Linked DNA regions of Arabidopsis thaliana. The protein of the gene in region 3 interacts with the protein of the main gene of each other region in a pairwise test. Each region holds a gene or a part of one and is shown on either strand. Other genes may lie near its edges.

Region 1 (7,222 bases), 5.1 Mb from region 3:
GAGACATGTTGTACGTGAAAATATTTGCGATCAAGAAACTGATTTCGAAACTTGAGGCCGAGAAGTATGAGGTTGATATGACTTTCGAAAAGACAGTTGCGAATCTATCACGCGTTATAGAGGAGGCTTCTCAAGCTTACGAGGAGTATCATGTGGTCGTGCGTAAGTGGAAAGAGGAACAAGCATCTGAGGAATTCTCGCGTGAGGCCATTGAGAGGGTAGAGATGGTTTGGGTTGAGTTTCTCAGCACTCTCTAGAGACAAGTCTTTTGTTTTCTTCTCTTTTAATTACATGCTTTCTCTCTTGTTTATGTCTTATTCCTTGTCATTTCCCTTTCTAATATAAAGCTTTTATGTGAGCGCCTTGTCAAATTGCTCTTTACTTTAATGATATCAGCAGATTATATAAATACTTCGTAAAGAATAATAATTAATTTACCAATTACCATTAAAAAAAAATTATTTGGGGTCGAAAGACATGACTCAGCTTTCATTATGTGGCCCAAAGCAGTAATGAAATATGACACTAGACATTATTTCTATTTATAACAGAACTATAAGTTTTTTTGTGTAGTTATTTTTCTTACTTCAAATCAGTTTTGTTTTATTAATAGTATCCCTCTATGTAGCACGTTTTAGGAATAGATCGAAGAGCAACGAAATGGATGATACATGGGCAGCTAGGTCGCGTTACTTCCGGATAAACAATGTCAATGTGTCCCCTCTCAATATTATATTCTCTAATCGGATCGGATCGAATCGAATCGAATCTGACTCGTCTATCGTCAAGCTGTCGTCTACTAATTATCTATAGAGACGTTAAAATATCAATATTTAGAGAGAGACTTCAGGTTTATTATTTTACAAGATTTTTTCATATTTTTAGTATTAGGAAAAAGTGGATTGGTTAAAAAGTAAACTAGAAAATTAAGTCAAGCTAAAAGGTTTGATATTGAATTTACTGCCGAACGAAAATTTAATTATAGCCGATCATTGAGTTTTAGGGTCGTGACACATGTGGTTGTCAGTTCTGTACAAGTACAATCATATATATGTATTTAATTTTCTCATGTAGCACGCTAATATTATCTTATAGTATAAATAAATACCAAGTCTAACAGATACGATTTGGTAGTAGTGTAGTGAACATCGCATTATTTATTTATATCAGCAAAGTAGTTCACAATACGTGGACTATGGCCTATGAGGATAATTAATTATACTCTAATGATTATACTTCTATTTCATAATATTGTAGTAAGTTAAACTGATTAATAGTTGGATTTACCAGCATTAGTGGATTCCATTATAGATATATTTCAATAATAAACTTTTCGTTTTTTCACTTTTTTAAAAATATCATTTTTCTTAGTCTTTCTTTTGGCAAGATTAAGAGTGGGATAATCATAATTTATAGGCGTTTCACATACACAGAAACTAATGAAGACAAGAATAAAATTAAAAATAGCGTTGAATTCTTTGTAATTAGGAACGTGGAATATATATAAAAATAAAAGCCACGTGAATTCTATTATTAAATTAAAAAGCCACGTTGAGTTATTTTACTTTGGTTTTATTTAAAGTCTTGTTTTTCCTCAAGCTTCACAACACAGTGTATTTTGATCTTTGTGATAACAATCTTCCACCATGGGAACAAAGTTTTTAGCTCTGGGTTTGTCTCTGTGTCTTGTTCTCTCAAGCTTCTATCAAGTTTCTTGCCAGGTAGTACACAAAAATACAATTGCTTTACCAATATATATTTTACGATAAAGAAATGATCAACTGATATTCAAACGCATTTGACTTTTGGTTTTAGGATGAAGGAACTGGAAGTTTGAGTACTTTAGATCTAATTGAGCATGAATATCAAAGTAAGGCTTACGATATATTTGTCTGAATAATCTTTTAGATGAAACACAATTCTCTTAAAATTATCATTTGGTTGCAGCTAGTGTCAATTCTCTCCAAGGCAATGAAGCAGTAGATCAAAGTAAGACCTTTCTCTCTGTCTCTCTTTCTTGTTTCTTTTCTTCTTCTGCAATTTGTTATTTGATATAGTCACTGTGTTGTGTGTGTGGAATCAGCTGAGACCAGTGGTCAGAAAAACAGTACAGTGTCTGATAACAACACTATTTCTTTGTCTCTATCTGAAGAACCTGCATTGGAAACTCTTAAAGAATCTGTTGATACATCAGCTGAGGTTAATTCCTGTCTATGAATTAACTTTTGGGATTGGATTTTGGTTTAGGATGACTATGTTTTAAAGACTCCTGAAATTTAATATCTGGTTTCTTCTACTTTGGATCTATATAGTTAGGAGCTGTTACTGATGAAGTCGATAAACCTTCAAGTATGTTGGACCATATTGAACTTGAGTTCGAAGGTAAGTCGAGACCTTTACTCTGTATTTGCACTGTTTTCTTAAAAGTCTCATAATTATGTCTATGGAAGAGGCTTGGATCAAAATATTGACATGAAGAGTTTGTTTGTGTGTTCTTGATTATAGCACATATCAATGAACTTAAAGAAGCTGGATCTGATGGTATCAACAAAGTTGAGGAATCTAAAGATGATGAAGAAGGTTAAAAAGAAAAGAAAAGAACACGTCTCTTTGATCAGATACCTTTGTGCTAAGAGATTTCTCTTATACTTTCTTTGTTGTTTTAGCTGCAAGGAGACATAAAATGTTGGAAGCCATTGAACGTGAATTTGAAGGTACCTATCAATGTTTCTGTCTAGCTTGAAGTTTATATTTTTGAAACCATTGTTTTGGTAGAGTCTTACTTACAGAGATTTACTTGCAGCTGCTCATGCTGGATTTGAACAACTAAAGACTGATGATTCCGCCCAAGGATTAGATGATGAACAATGTAACTAAACACTCTTTGTCTAGTACTAGTTACGATCACATTTTGGTTCTTCTTCAACATTCTAAGTCCAATTTCTCTGTTCTTTTTGTTACAGCTGCAAAGAGACAAAGCATGTTGGACGAGATTGAACGTGATTTTGAAGGTCTCTCTACAAAATCTTTATTCTTGTTTACTTAAGTTCTTGAACCTGAAAAGTTGAAGTAACAATTGGGTTGTGTCTTCTGTTCCATTTCCACTTGCAGCTGCTACAAAAGGTCTTGAGCAACTAAAGGCTGATGATTTAACTGGAATCAACGATGAAGAACACGGTAAAGAAACCTCTATGTTTCACGTTGTTTGATGCCTTTGTCTGTATTACAGTATTCTTGAGTCGGATTTTGTTATCTTGTTGTAGCTGCAAAGAGACAAAAGATGCTTGAAGAGATCGAAAGAGAGTTTGAAGGTATCTTGAAACGTATAAGTATAACCAATAAGTCTTTAATGAAATATCTTCTTGAGAACCATCTTAGACTCTGTAATTCCTCTGTTTGCAGAAGCTACAAAAGGTCTTGAAGAACTAAGGCATTCTACCTCAAGCACAGATGATGAAGCACAATGTAATCTTTTGTTTCCCTCTATTTAAATGATCTTTTAGTCTCAGATACACTACTCAGAACACAAATCTAATGTCTTGTTATTGTTATAGCTGCAAAGAGACAGAATATGCTAGATGAGATCGAACGGGAGTTTGAAGGTATTTTGACACACTCAATATCTGTCTTAATTGATTCACAATATTTGTGTTGAGACTTATTGGATTTATGATTATGTTTCATCTTTGTACTTGCAGCTGCTACAAGTGGTCTTAAAGAGCTAAAGATTAATGCTCACACTGTCAAAGATGATGTTGATGATAAAGAACAAGGTAAGAAACTGTTATCTCTACTTTGATAACTTATGTCCCTCATTTAGTTTTCTGAGATAGCTAGATGTTATGCTTTATTTACAGATGCCAAAAGACAAAGTATGCTAGATGCAATTGAACGTGAGTTTGAAGGTAAATCGACATACCAATCATCATATGCAGAGAGAATCTTTAACTCTTTATTGTTCAAAGAAGTTCTAAGAGTTTTTTTTTTCTCTCTTGCAGCCGTTACCGAGAGTTTTAAACAACTTGAAGATATCGCCGATAACAAAGCTGAAGGAGACGACGAATGTAAGAAAAATCTTTCCACTCAACATTTTTTGGTTCATTTACCTTTATTGTAGTGTTATTCTGAGAGAGGTTTTTATGTCTTTTTAATCAGCTGCAAAGAGGCAAAGTATGTTGGATGAGATTGAACGTGAATTTGAAGGTACTTATTATTGATGTTAATTAGTTCTTATGGTTCCCATATAAAATCTTGAATTATTTCCTCTGTTTATCAAACTACTTTGCAGCTGCTACAAATAGTCTTAAGCAACTAAACCTTGACGATTTCAGTGAAGGAGATGACAGTGCAGAATGTAATAACTTGTCCTCTCTACTTTCTCTGATCATATTTGCATCTTCTATAGTATTTTGAAGATTTTTTTGTATGTTTTGATACAGCTGCAAGGAGAAATAGTATGCTTGAAGCTATCGAACGCGAGTTTGAAGGTCATTTTCACATAACATTGAACTTCCTAGCTGAAATGTAAATCCATTCTAAAAGGTCAAGTACTTAAGTTTCTTCTCTTTTATTTTCTTACTCGCAGCTGCTACAAAAGGTCTTGAAGAGCTAAAGGCTAATGATTCAACCGGCGACAAGGATGATGATGAACACGGTAACTATTCTTCCCCATATTCCTCTATTTTGTATATATTGTTCTGTTGTATCCTGAGCCAGCTCTGTTTCCATGTTTTGTTACAGTTGCAAGGAGAAAAATTATGCTTGAAGCTATTGAACGCGAGTTTGAAGGTACTTTAACATATATTCTTGAGCCATTGTTGGTGACCAAGCCTTGATAACTAGATGAATCGGAATCATATAAAAGTGATCAAAGTAATCTGAGTTTCTTATTTCTTGTTTCAGCCGCGACAAAAGGCCTTGAAGAGTTAAAGAATGAATCAGAACAAGGTAAATAATCTGATCCTTTTGCTCCTCTCAAATCCATCTGAGACAAGTTTTTAAGACGATGTTTATTTTTTGTTAACAGCTGAAAACAAGAGAAACAGTATGTTGGAAGCATTCGAACGCGAATTTGAAGGTAACCTTAAGAACCAAACGCATGAATTCATATAGAAACAAGGATAGTATATAATATGACAGTTTGGTTTCATCTTCTTGTTCATTTTTCTAATTTGCAGCTGCTACAAATGCAAAGGCTAATGGAGAAAACTGTAAGAAAGCTTGTTGATATTTTTCCTTATGTCATTTTCTATCTTTTAAGTTTTTGTCTGAGATGTTTTGTCACAACAGCTGCAAAGAATCCATCAACCATAAGTACTACAGTGCAGAAATCTTCTGGCGGATACAATGGTAATATAATCTTCAGATTCTCACAAACAAATATTTTCCCAAAAAGAAACAAGATCTCAATGTTTATATGTTCTTTATTTTTCAGCTGGTTTAGAAGGTCTTCTAAAGCCTGCAGGTTAGCTTTAAAGCTTATTCATTCTTGTGAATGTTTTTAACCGAAGAAAGTCACAAGAGTGCTAATCTTAATTGTCTTCTCTCTGTTATTGTTTCTTGCAGATGGTGTATGTGGTTGTTTCAACAAGGATAAAGATGGTCTTCAGGCAGACACTGATTCTTCGATTAACATAGCGGAGATACTCGCAGAAGAATCCAAATTACAGGTTTGTTTTATAGATCTTTCTTGAATAGACAATGGAAGGCTCTCACATCTAAACCAATCTCATTTTTGTTTATATCTTTTGCTTTTGACTTTGGTAGGGCTCAGGGACCTCTCGGCTCACCACATCATTGAACAATCTTGTTGATACTCATAGAAAAGAAACGTCCTCAAAGGTAGGCTCAGTCCTTGGCTCATCTTCATCAGTTACTTCTACCACAAGCGAATCAGCGGCTACATCAGAGAGCATAGAGAGCTTAAAGCAAACACTAAGGAAGCTACGCGGTCTAAGCGCACGTGATCTCGTAAACCACCCGAATTTCGATGCGATTATAGCAGCCGGTACACGTTACGAGGTACTCAGCTCAGCTTCTATTGGTTACATCTCTTTGCTAGCCAAATACAAAACCGTCATTAAAGAAGGACTCGAGGCTTCTCAGAGAGTCCAGATTGCTCAAACCCGAGCCAAACTGCTAAAAGAAACCGCAATGGAGAAGCAGAGAACCGTAGACTCGGTTTTCGCAGCAGCAAAGACCACTGCTCAAAGAGGAGACGCGTTGCACATCAGAATCGTAGCGATCAAGAAACTGTTGGCAAAGCTAGAAGCAGAGAAAGTGGACGTTGATTCAAAGTTCACCTCTTTAACGACGAGTCTGTCAGAGCTTCTCAAGGAGGCGTCACAGGCTTACGAAGAGTATCACGAGGCGGTGCATAAGGCAAAGGACGAGCAAGCGGCTGAGGAATTTGCGGTGGAGACGACAAAGAGAGCAGAACATATTTGGGTTGAGTTTCTTAGTTCACTTAATTGAACTAATGAGATTCTTGATTGTGGTTAAAGCACATGTTCAATTAGTTGTGGTTCTTGTGTTTTATTTTCTTGTGTTGTTTTGTTTGAGACTTTGTTTGTTGCTTATATCAGGGGAGAGAGGTTGAAAAACCTTTGAGAGAGATAGATAAATGAGAGATTTGTGAAACACAAATAATGTTTTAGTCGTCTTATAATAAAACCTTTTTTTTTCTTATATATGCTCATTGATAATACTGCAAAAAGGTAAAATCATGTTTTTTTTTTTTTAATATGAATCATGATATTCAGGCATGTTTTTTCCAAGATTGACAATTATATAGGCCAGAACTAGCAAGAAATAAGAGTTAAAGTGCTAAAATCAGAAATCGAGTGTCTTTATTTCTTGCAATTGCAGTTTATTAGTAAATAAATCACATAAAACAGAGATTAGTTCATCTAACATTTTCCTGATAAATTGACAAAAAAAGGACGTTGTAACTACTTCAATATTTATTTTTTGTCGGCTACTAATTTTATTTTTAAAATTCAACAAATTTAAGTAATATTACATTTGACTTGAGTGAGGAAAATGTTCTATAATGTTGTCATTTTTTTATAAATCAAATTTAAATTATATCATGAGTTAATATTTTAAAGATGTCCTAGAAAAATTCACACGTAAAAATAAAGAAAAGAGATTATCCCACACGAGTCGCTAACACGTGTGACCCAAATCATACTCGGAAAAAGCAAAACGATCATTATTTGAA
Region 2 (7,291 bases), on a different chromosome or scaffold from region 3:
AAACGCTACTTTCATCATCATCCTAACCATGTAGCAAATTTTTTGTTTTATTTGTTTGGTCTTACTATATCTCTCTACCTAATAAACGTAATCGTAACACTATCTTATATACTTTTAACAGAAAATTCAACTTAATAAACGCATGCGAGATTTTAATGCATTCGGCCGCGTGTGAATTATTTAAAACAAAAAAAAAACGGTGAGTTGAGCGTTTCTCGGATTCAACTAGTACGTTTAAAAAAAAAAAACACTAGTACGTTTTAGTTTAGAGTATTTTAATTAGTAGGTCAAACTATAACTAAAATTTCAGAGTAAATCAGAATAGATTAGAAGTGAGAACTTCAATGTTCCTTGTAAATTCAAATTGACCGATCATTCTAGTTGTTTTTATAGTGGACACCAAAAACCATTTTTCTATCTCATAGTAAAATACTTTGCCAATATTGTTATTAAAGGCTTAAAGCTATTTTTGTATTTTTAACCTCTCCCAGTTGAAATGATATAGCAAGTAAAAAAAAAATGATAATCATTTACCTATATTTTACCTCATCGTTATTTAGTAAGAATAGTCAACAAGAAAAAAAAATCATTGGAAGAGAGGAGAAGAATGTTACAAATTTACAATACAATGTATGCAAAAAGCTTATTATTTAGATATCTGAAAAAACATTATTAGTTTTCGCAGAGACTCTCTTTCTCTCTATCTCCCAGCCTCTTTCTCCTGATACAACCAACACACAAACTCTGAAACAGAACATCATCACAAAATACATAACAAGAACCAACAAGAGCTCTAGATTTGCTCTTAACACAACCAAGAATCTCAATTGTTCTCTAAAGAGAACTAAGAAACTTAACCCAAATGATCTCTGCACTTTGCGTCGCCTCTTTCGCAAATTCCTCAGCCGCTTGCTCGTCTTTCGCCTTCCTCACCGCGCCATGATACTCTTCGTAAGCCTCAGAAGCATCAGCCAGAAGATGAGAAAGTTCTTTCACAGTCTCCTTAAACTTTCCATCAACAGATTCTTTCTCTGCTTCAAGTTTCGCCAACAGTTTCTTGATTGCGAAGATTTTAACGAACAACGCGTCTCCTTCTTGAGCAAGCTTTTTAGCGGTTGCGAAATGAGTGTCCACGGCGGTTTGCTTCTCCGTGGCAACTTCTTTGAGCATTTTTGCTCGTACCTGCGCGATGTGAACTCTCTCAGAAGCTTCAAGTCCTTCTTTGATGACGTTTCTGTATTTAGCTAACCTAGAAATGTAACTGATTGGAGCTGAACTTAGCTCTTCAAAACTCGCAGCCGTAATGAGAATCTGACCGAAATCTTTACGTGTCACAAGCTCACGAGCGGTTAAGCCGCGAAGCTCATTCAGTTTAGCCCTTAGGGTTTCTACAGTCTCTGATGTAGCAGATGATTCGCTTGTGGAAGAAGCTATAGAAGGAGAAGTGAGAACTCTGTGTCCGAGTAGAGATTCCTTTTCTTTCCTGTGATTCTCAACGAGTTGAGTCAAAGACGCGGTGAGACTAGAAGTCTCTGTTCCCTGAAAAATCATGAAAACATAGGAATTAGACTTTAGAGATTGTGATTCTGATCACTTTCTTGCTGTTCAAGAAAAGGTTTAAAACAAAAACCTGGACTGCAGATTCTTCAGAGAGGATATCTTCTATGCTATATTTTGTTGGTATAACAATCGAGGAATCTTCGTCTTGTTTAGAACAGCTACAACCACCTGACTGTCCTAGTCCAAGAACCTCTGGTATAGCAGAGCCACTCTGTTTCTTTGCAGCTGTGAGAACAAGAATTGTCTTAGAAAAATATTTTGAGACAGTGAGTGAAGCAAAAAAGTTAAAGACTTTTGGTTGTTTCTTACATTCTTCTTTGTCAGCCTTTGCATTAATACCACTGTGTGCTTCTGCAGAACAAGAAGGTTGGAATCAGAAACTGTCAATCTATACTTTCTTTACTTAGAACTTAGAAGAGATCAGTAATAGAATCTTGGAGTACCTTCAAATTCACGTTCCATCTCTTCCAAAATTATCTTTCTCTTAGCAGCTGAAACAAAAAATTATAACCAAAACAGTTACAAATTTTGTATGAGAAGGTTTTAAAGAGAAAAAATGGATCAGAGAGTTTACATTCTTCTTCAAGATTTCTGGAATCATCAACTTTGATCTGTTTAAGACCTCCAATAGCAGCTGCAAGTAGAAGATGAAAACAGGTTCAAGATTTCCTCTGAAGAATATGAGCTGATGAGACAGATACTTATATGTTGACATACCTTCGAACTCGCGTTCGATCTCTTCAAGCATACTCTTTCTCTTTGCAGCTATATAACAAGAGATAACTAACTCTGTCTCAGAATACTGTGGTGAAGAAAGTGAATCAAGAAGAGTTTTTGTTGTTTCTTACATTGTTCTTCATTATTATTGCCTTCAGAGAAATCATTAGCCTTTAGTTGTTCAAGACCTATTGTAGCAGCTACAAAATTATAAAATTACAGAAAATTAGGATCTAAAAAAGAGTGTGAGATAAATGGTATGTGAGGATAGATTACCTTCAAATTCGCGTTCGATATCTTCCAACATTTTGTTTCTCTTTGCAGCTGTAATAAAGATCAAGATACAAGAAGAATAGGCTCAGAATACTGTAAGGAAGAAAAAGAGTCGAAAACCCGCAGAAAAAGAAAGATATTTACATTGTTCATCATCAGCACTGCCTTCAGTGAAATCATTTAGTTGTTTAAGATCTTTTGTTGCAGCTGCAAATAGAAGACAATAAACACATTCTTAAAAACACTATTCTCCATGTTTAGTTTTCTATATTTGATATTAAAGATAACCTTCAAATTCACGTTCAATCTCTTCCAGCAGACTTTGCCTCTTTGCAGCTGTAACTACAATACATTCAAAGCCTGATTCAGATAACCATAGAGAAAGAATAGCAGATAATAAGAAGAAGAGTGCTTTACAGTGTTCTTTGTCTTCAGTAGAATCATCAACTTGAAGTTGCTTAAGGCTCTCTGTAGCAGCTGCAAGTGATAAATGTAGATATAAGACTCTCAGATATTACTCAGGGTTGGGATGTGAACTAATTAAGACTCTTAGTAAATGTTATGTAGGAGATACCTTCGAACTCTCGTTCGATCTCTTCTAACAAACTTTGTCCCTTTGCAGCTGTTTTTATGACAGTATATTCAATCTGATTCAGAAAACTGTATGCAGGAAAAGGAATTAGATAAAGAAGATGGGACAAACCGCAAACGTTTCATACCGTGTTCTTCTTCGTTATTGTCCGCGGTTGAATCGCTAGCCCTTAGTTGTTCAAGACCTTTTGAAGCAGCTATGAGAAACAGAACACAGAAACATATTATTAAGTAACACACAATTTTCTTTACGAATCATATGATTAAGACAGTTTGTGGTATATATACAAAGTACCTTCAAATTCCCGTTCGATCTCTTCAAGCATACTTAGTCTCTTTGCAGCTGTAACAAGATAGCAGCTTCAGTGGAAATGGATAAGAGAAAACCAAAAAGGACTATATGTGACTTTACATTGTTCTTCATCATCTCCGCTTCCTGTGGAATCAGAAACCTTAAGTGCTTCAATGCCTTCCATAGCAGCTGCAAGTAGGAGATTGAAATAGAAAATCACACAAACAAACTCTTAGATGATACTCAGATTGATTTATAATGGTTTCTGCATTCTTCTTAGAACATATTGAAACATACTGGTGTCTCAAGATACCTTCAAACTCGCGTTCAATAGCTTCAAGCATACTTTTTCTCTTTGCAGCTGTAACAAAGACACATAATCAGTCACAAAATACTCAAATAGAGACAAAGGGAACAGATAAATCTGAAATTGAAGAGGTTTATTACAGTGTTCTTCGTCATCTTTGTCCCCGGTGAAGTCATTAACCTTTAGTTGTTCAAGTTCTTTTGTAGCAGCTAAGGTATGAGATGAAACAGAAGAAAAAGCTAACTATTAGATTCAAGATTTTATCTCAAAACAGAGGAGCTATCTAAGACATGTATGTTGAGAATATACCTTCAAACTCACGTTCGATCTCTTCCAACAAACTTTGCCTCTTTGCAGCTGTAAGTGTAACAAGTGATACAAAACCTGTTTCAGTGTATCATATTATGGCAAGGACAAAATGGAGTCAAGAGAAGGAGTCTTTTACAATGTTCTTCATCATTTCCTTCGTTTACATCATCAGTCTTTAGTTGTTTCAGACTATCTGAAGCAGCTGCAACAAGTAGGAGAAGCAAAAGAAGTCAGATTAACAAACTTTTTTTTATAAGTGAACTAACTATAAGCTAGCTAGATGTATAATCTATGAGACAACCTTCAAACTCATGTTCGATTTCTTCCAACATTTTCTGTCTATGAGCAGCTGAAACAAGACACAATAACAACTACATCAGCAAAAGAAAGAACTATTGAAGAAACAAAGAATTTCATAGAAGAAAATCTTACATAATTCTTCATCATCATCCTTGGATTCAGCCTTGACACCATCAGATCCAGCTTGGTTAATACTATTGTGATGAGCTGCAATTAATCATGATACACAATTATATACAAAAACTTTACTAAACATCAATTTCTGATTAACTATATAGTAAAATAAATAAGGGCCTTTCATGTTTCACACCATAAACACAATCACTAAGATCAAGATCTTGAGATACCTTCGAATTCAAGTTTGATTTGATCCAACAGACTCGAACGTCCAACGCTTTCATCACTAACAGATCCAACCTAAACACACACAGCAAAGACAAAAATTCACCTTAATTAAGTTTACAAAAAACTACTTTGCAGGAATCTCTTTATTACTTTCATTAATTAGAATCCAAATCTAAACTTAAAGAGCAACGCAACAAAAGCTAAACCCTAACCTCAGATTCATCTGATAGAGATAGAGAAATAGTGTTCTTATCAGTCACTGTAGTGTTATTCTGGTTTTCACTCTGTATCTTTGCAGCTGAAGACACACAGAAACATAGAAGCTGTCACAAACATAACAAAAATAGAATCAAGAAAGAGATATAGAGAGAGAGATCTTACACTGATCTTCATCGTCCTTGCCTTGAAGAGCATTGACACTATCTAGAAAGAAAAAAAGAGAACCTAAAATCAATCCAAGAAAACAAATAAAAAGAAAGAAAACCTTGGATAAGTGTCGGTATTTCTGAGAATGTCCTTACCTTGATAATCACGTTCTATTAGATCCAAATTACTCAAACCACTACCATCATCCTAAAAAGATACAAGATGCGTTGAAAATTATTTTTAAGGTTGAAAGAAAAATAATTAAAAGACATGTTTTTTTCTACCTGACAAGAAACCTCATGGAAGCTTGAAAGAAGGATACACAAAGACAAAGCCAGTACAAGAAAATTCGTTTTCATGGTGTAGATTTCCATTACAAGAACGAGGATACACAAAATCTTTAAGCTTGAAGAAGCATCACATAGCTATGGATACGCTTATAAAATAAAACCGTTGTAACTAACTTAAACGTGGATTTCATTCTTTTATCTCGTGGCTCTTCTTCTAGATAACTCATTTTGTGTGTAGCAAAAGTTAAACAGCTAGATGTGAAATAATATAATTAATATTAGTAAATGTGACATTTTATAATTTTATTGAAAATAATAATATCATGGAAATAGGAAAAAAAACAAAAAAAAAACTATTGATGGAATAACTAAGATAGAAATATTTATTTTAATAAAGTCAATTTTTTTAAAAACACATCTCTTTTTTTTTTGGTTATGCCTTCCATTCCCAAATCAGATTGCTCAATAGTTAAGTGGTCAAGCTCGTACAAATTCGTTTTTGAACATCTCATTTTTTTATGTGTTACGTTGGTTTGTTTTCTTATATTTTTTGACATAGTAAAAATACTTTTATTAGTTTTCTATTATGTAAATTAAATTTTTTAAAACTATTATTACGTAAAAAAACAAACTCACAACTCTAAAAAAATTAATGACTTTATATTTCATTTTGTCAATATTGTGGAATTTCGATTTTTTGCGTTAATTCTGTCTAGTCATGAATTTGGATATCAATCCATGGACAGACTCATCCTCCATACTTAATTTTGTGGAGAATGCTAGCTAGGGTCATTATTATTAATGTCTCTTCTATATGTTGAACCAGAAATAAAACTTGAAACCTTAAGAAGATTTTAGAACCTCTTTTTTCAGTATATATAATCACATTTAAGGGATTTTACAAACTTTTCATAAAATTCGTGTGAAAGTAGGCATTTTTCAAAGGCTATAATTATAGAAATAGGGACTTTTTCACTGTTCAAAATGATAAAACCCTGAAACAACTTTAAAACTCCAAATAAAATAATTACTTCTTGGCTTTTGAAAAAGTGAATTAGTGCCTTTAAATTTGAAGAACTCATAAGTTCGCATTACATGTACCCAAATGCAATCTTTCTATAATTAACTTTATATTTAATAATTGGAATATATATTTTTAATTCTCTATACGACTCTATCCAAAGTAAAGAATATTATTGTTGTAATATCGCTTTTCAATTTCTATTAACTATTAATAAGTGAATAATTTAAACTACGCAATAATTTTTTTTTCTTCAAACAATAAATTATCCAATAGTGTCTCTAGGTTTGATGGTCCCTTGATGGAATAGTTAAATGCATGGCTCCCGTGTGACGTCGTAGTCCAGAGCGGACAAATATAAGTTCAGTACTAGTAGAAAGATATATGTTGTCTCAACGTGCAACATGTGATATATATCGATTACTAATATTTTTTTTTTTTTTGAGATTAGTATTATGTTATAAATATATAAAAGTTTATATATCACTAGACAGTAGTATATGAATCAGAGAACACGTAAATATATCGTCTCAATTATAACCCTTTTTCAAACAAAATATATATATTATCAACTATTTTGCTTTTATCCGTGAAATGATTGTACATAATTTTGGAGCATGCATGTCTTCTCATTTCTGAATAATTCAACCTACATATCAATGGGTTAAAACACGTTCGGGAAGTTCTTCTACCTGTTATTAAAACCATTATAGGATGTGTTATTTTATTTTTATGATATGCTTTTTATAAACATTAATTCATTTTATCAAATAAATTTCCATATCCGCCATATACATATAGACATAGCATGCATGTCTTCTTGGTTCTGAATAATTCTACCTATACATGTCAAGTAGATTAATATGGACTTCTAATCAGCGTTCTCCTGTATTACAAACAAACAAAAATAACAATTCGGT
Region 3 (4,559 bases):
AATTCTTTACACCAAACATAAAAACCCAAAACCCAAAAGAAACGTTGGTACTCATCATATGCATATATACCTAACACACATTTTTTGTGTGCAGATAAATATGTCTAACTACCTCCATTAGGTATTCCAATATTTTGCTTATAGATTACTAGAAGAGTATATTTCATCTACGATAATTAAATTTATTTAAACAAAAAACGTATTAGAACGGGTATTATTAAAAAACATCGAAGTACAAGAAATAATATTAAGACTTTGTTAATTGACAACTCCTTTACTTGGTTGCTTTCTTTTTTAGTTGTATATAAATAGTATATACTAACCGATTTTTTAAAGACTATAAAAATTCGAATCTATGGACCTTAAACATATAATCCCTTAAACACGCAATCTCCATTGCTCGAGTTAGATCCTCCCATGCGTTAATATCTTTATCACTTTACCGGCAACGCCACTCCAGTCCTCTCCCAAACTTAACTTCCAGTTACAATTTAACAAATTAAATAATTTAAAATTATTACCATTACATATGCAAATCTCAAACTAAGCCAAAAAAAAAGAAGACTATATATAAAGTATTTTACATGGTTTTTAACGCTACAAATGTTTGGTCATCCTCAACAATTATCTTAAGATTCTTAACATGCAGACTAAATAACATATGTACAACAATATCGCAGAGTATTTTTACTTCAAGAAACCAAAACACAACCAGTCAACCACATCAAATCACATCAAAACTCTTTTTCTTCTCTAGAAAGTGGCATCTGTTTTTTTCATATAGACCCAAAATCCTTGTCTCATTTCTCTCTTTCCCCATTTAATACTACTCAAAAAAATAAAATTAAAACCACATCTTTATATCACCACACAAAAACTCACTTAAAACAAAAAATCATTATCGACATTTCTTTCATTCTATCTTAAATCCTCATCATCACTCAACTTGAGCTCGCCAACACAGATTTCTCCTATATATAAAACAAGTTAAAGAAACAAAATATGTATATTTTAAGGTTAATTGTATGTTGATTTGCGTTTGATAAAATAAATATTAGGGTTTAGATTTTACACTTATGCAAATTAGATGTCAATTTGGATTTATGGTTTAAGGCTTAGGGTTTAGGGTTTAGAATTTTACAATTAAACAAAATTATGTATCGATTGGGATTTATAACAACGAGGTTATGGTTAGATATTATAATTAAACAAAATTATATATTGGGTTGGGTTTATAAAAAATTAAGTCTGATTTAGATTTTACAATTAAATAGAGTTATATGTTGGTTTGGTTAGTAGATATTTTGTTTTCTTAATCTGTTTTGTTTTATGATTATAGTTTTAATTTATTTTTAAAGATAATAAGACATGGTATATTATTATATTTTAATTAGTCAATTAAAAGGATGAATAAGATTGTGAACCCAATAATTATTCATATACGACGTGTCAATAATCCACTCCTTCAACTTAGGACCTTAAACATCTAATCCCTTAAACACGTAATCCCCATTGCTCCAGTTAGATTCTCCCATGCCTTGATAATTTTATCACTTCACCGGCAACGCCACTCCACTCCTCTTCCAAACTTAATTTCCAGTTACCATCTAACGAAAATAATAATTTTAAACTAATACCATTCTGCACATCTCAAACTCAGACAAATCAAATATAAACAAGACATTTCTTTGGGCAAAATAAAAACGAGACTATAAAGTATTTTCCTTGGTTTTTAAGACTAAATAACAAGATTATTTTTGCTTCAAGAAACCAAAACACGAGCCACACTGATTACACAACCACATCAAAATTCTTTTTCTTCTCTAGAAAGTGCCATCTGTTTTCTTCCTATAGACCCAAAATCCTTGTCTCATTTCTCTCTTTTCCCATTTAATATTACTCAAATAAAAAAAATAAAAATAAAAATCAAAACCACATCTTTATATCACAATAACCCACATAAAACAAAAAAATCGTTATCGACATTTCTTTCATTCTATCTTAAATCCTCATCACTCAACTTGAGCTCGCCAACACAGGTTTCTCCTATAAATACTTGTAAATTACAAACCCAAGAAATCATTCAAAACTTCATACCTATTATATATATTGGTGAGAGTATTGAGCAAGATTCTGATTCAATTTCTGGTTAAGTTTTTCTCTCTTCAACTCTCTTTTTATTCGTAGTTTAATGATCAATTTATTATGTTTTGTGTTGTACGTATATTATTTTTATTATCATAATTTTCTTTTTCCTCATGATTTTTACAGGTAACTGTATTTTTTCTATGTAAAATTCAAATACATTATTGTTTTGAAAATAAAATAAATATTATTATCGAGAATGATGTATGTATATTAAAATTAATATAGAAATATTCGTACAAAACTATGTTTCATTATCAAGGATAATATATTTTCTTAAAACCATTCTACAAAATCTAGGAATATAATGTCGATAGATCCAATTACTTTCAAAATTGTCGCTCATTGAAATTAACAATTTATTAAGATTAACTAATAAAAATTCATTTTGCACAAAAAAAAAAGTAATAAAAATTCACTAAGACAACTAAAAAAATCACTTTTTATAAACAGAAGAAAAAACCTATATAACTACTTTGTGGATGTTAACTCCTCTAAAACTGTCCTAAATCTCTCTAACTTATCTTGATTATTTTTCCTTTCAGCAATATCATCGATGGCGTTATCCAAAGATTTGATGTTGAAATGCTCGGAAGACATGATGAGTGCTTACAAATCTGCTTGTGAAGAACACCCAAAACTAAAATCCTTTGATGCTTCCCTTCAGCAGCGAACCAACAAAATGATAGACTCACTCACCGTTGAAGACAAGAATGGTTCGTCCTCCCCACACGACGCACACATGGAGCTCTCCAAGCACCTAGTTGAAGTTACCCAAGGTGTGGCAGACTTCATTACCGAAATCGAAGACGATGTGTGGGACAACCAAGCTCTAAAGTATTTGGTCCTGGCCTATTTTGAAAATACTAAAAAGACTTTAGAGATTTTCAAAACTATAGAGAACTGCGTCGAGAACGCAGAAATGGGCCAACTTCTCATTCGAGAGGCCTTGGCCGAGTTTGAGAAAGAGTCGGCAGAAAAAGATGTTGGTGGGAAAAAGAAGAAGTATGAAAAAACATTGGAGGACCTCAAGAGTTTTAAAGAGATGGGAGATCCCTTTGACGGCAAAGTTCTCACAACTCAGTTCGAGCGGATCAAAAAGCAGCAAGAATCCCTTCTGGAGGAAGTGAGTGAGACTAGAAAAAAGATTCAGGACGAAATTAGTAATCTAGAGAAAAAAACTTTAATTACGAACGTGGTTTTCGGCGCTGCGTTTGCTATTGTTGCGGTTGCATCCATAGCTCTAATTGCAACAGGCGTGGGTGCGGCTGCCGGCTTTGGGGCTCTAGCCGCACCACTGCTTGCGGCAGGATGGGCTGGAGTCTACACTACCTTGGATAAAAAGAAGGATGCTCTGAACAAACAGTTAGAAGGTCTAAAGAAAGTGGAAGAGATAGAAGAATCGGTGGAGAAAGGTATAAAAACCAACGAAGAAGCGACGGAGACCGTATCGATTTTAGTCGACGGGCTAGAAGACCGTATCAAAAATATGTTGAAACTTGTAGATAATGCTATTGACCATGAAGATAATGAGGCGGCCACGAGAATTGTCCTAACTCAGATCAGTAAGAAAGTAGAGAAATTAACAAAGAAAATCACGGAGGTTGGTGAAAGTGTGGAAGATCATAGCAAGTTGATTGCAAAGGCCAGACTTCAAGTTCTGCAAAAGATCAACCGTTAATCTTTTGTTTAACGATGTTTGTTGTTCAAAATCCATATTTTAGTATGTTTTAATCATCCCATTGTACCTTTTTAAAATATTATATGTTTTGTAATTTCACCATCCGAGAGATTGGTTGATATGTACCTCTATCCCGTATATTCGTGAAATAAAGTTTGAAAAAAACTTGTGCTTTATTCATCTTTTCACAAATTAAATGACCAAATAAAATCACCTTTTTTTTTTCTTTCGACCAAACAAAATTACCTAAACCAAGCGTACGAAATTTAATCTTGAAATATGAAAATTTTAACGCTCGGAAGGAGAATATAAGATCAAATCAATATATACTTTTCCTTTGGGATAATCATAAAACTCATTATCCTATCTGAGATATTTGGACGAGAATTGACGTGAAAATAGATTTTTGCCATTAACGATGAAGATCCAACCAATTGGTATCGATCGAGCCCTTCTACTTATGTAGATCCAACCAATTGGAATCGTTATCCTATGCAAACCTAGTTAAAATATTGATTTCACAGAGGAGTAAGAGAGGGAAGAACCAAAGTAAGCGATCATTCTTAGACAAGAATGATATAAAACTTTTATATTACTGAAACTTGTTATCTACATCACCTAGCTACTTGTGCCTCTTGAAAAATAAACCCGATTGTGTCGTTTTGTTTTGTTTGCATGCAAGTAATTAAGTACAAACGAGTGAGTGAGAGAGAGTGAGCACAGATACATGTCT

What was found. Proteins that work in one complex are often made in the same cells at the same time.
Region 1: the proteins of AT3G28270 (region 3) and NAI2 interact in a two-hybrid assay, tested with the Arabidopsis thaliana proteins (one study listed by BioGRID).
Region 2: the proteins of AT3G28270 (region 3) and TSA1 interact in a two-hybrid assay, tested with the Arabidopsis thaliana proteins (one study listed by BioGRID).

Annotation. Positions count from the first base shown.
Region 1 is NC_003074.8:5,397,035-5,404,256, reverse strand, and holds NAI2 (DNA topoisomerase-like protein), read left to right. Parts: upstream 1-1,604; 5' UTR 1,605-1,646; coding exon 1,647-1,721; intron 1,722-1,815; coding exon 1,816-1,870; intron 1,871-1,947; coding exon 1,948-1,989; intron 1,990-2,083; coding exon 2,084-2,199; intron 2,200-2,312; coding exon 2,313-2,382; intron 2,383-2,505; coding exon 2,506-2,580; intron 2,581-2,666; coding exon 2,667-2,714; intron 2,715-2,803; coding exon 2,804-2,869; intron 2,870-2,963; coding exon 2,964-3,011; intron 3,012-3,111; coding exon 3,112-3,177; intron 3,178-3,263; coding exon 3,264-3,311; intron 3,312-3,402; coding exon 3,403-3,465; intron 3,466-3,554; coding exon 3,555-3,602; intron 3,603-3,698; coding exon 3,699-3,773; intron 3,774-3,857; coding exon 3,858-3,905; intron 3,906-3,998; coding exon 3,999-4,064; intron 4,065-4,155; coding exon 4,156-4,203; intron 4,204-4,288; coding exon 4,289-4,354; intron 4,355-4,439; coding exon 4,440-4,487; intron 4,488-4,585; and 19 more. Other genes in the region: AT3G15960 (mismatched DNA binding / ATP binding protein), read left to right, coding at 1-257. UniProt on the Arabidopsis thaliana protein: Responsible for the ER body formation. Regulates the number and shape of the ER bodies and the accumulation of PYK10 in ER bodies, but is not involved in the expression of PYK10.
Region 2 is NC_003070.9:19,518,905-19,526,195, reverse strand, and holds TSA1 (TSK-associating protein 1), read right to left. Parts: upstream 5,594-7,291; 5' UTR 5,435-5,593; coding exon 5,345-5,434; intron 5,268-5,344; coding exon 5,216-5,267; intron 5,118-5,215; coding exon 5,076-5,117; intron 4,993-5,075; coding exon 4,907-4,992; intron 4,767-4,906; coding exon 4,697-4,766; intron 4,557-4,696; coding exon 4,482-4,556; intron 4,399-4,481; coding exon 4,351-4,398; intron 4,252-4,350; coding exon 4,186-4,251; intron 4,098-4,185; coding exon 4,050-4,097; intron 3,950-4,049; coding exon 3,881-3,949; intron 3,795-3,880; coding exon 3,747-3,794; intron 3,623-3,746; coding exon 3,554-3,622; intron 3,485-3,553; coding exon 3,437-3,484; intron 3,339-3,436; coding exon 3,270-3,338; intron 3,173-3,269; coding exon 3,125-3,172; intron 3,028-3,124; coding exon 2,968-3,027; intron 2,893-2,967; coding exon 2,839-2,892; intron 2,758-2,838; coding exon 2,695-2,757; intron 2,602-2,694; coding exon 2,554-2,601; intron 2,478-2,553; and 15 more. Other genes in the region: AT1G52415 (Bifunctional inhibitor/lipid-transfer protein/seed storage 2S albumin superfamily protein), read right to left, coding at 1-30. UniProt on the Arabidopsis thaliana protein: Involved in seedling development in the dark. May be involved, when interacting with TSK, in the organization of spindle microtubules and may participate, when interacting with GIP1, in structural links between the nuclear envelope and the cytoskeleton.
Region 3 is NC_003074.8:10,536,024-10,540,582, forward strand, and holds AT3G28270 (transmembrane protein, putative (DUF677)), read left to right. Parts: upstream 1-1,981; 5' UTR 1,982-2,148; exon of another isoform or gene 2,149-2,690; 5' UTR 2,691-2,701; coding exon 2,702-3,826; 3' UTR 3,827-4,047; downstream 4,048-4,559.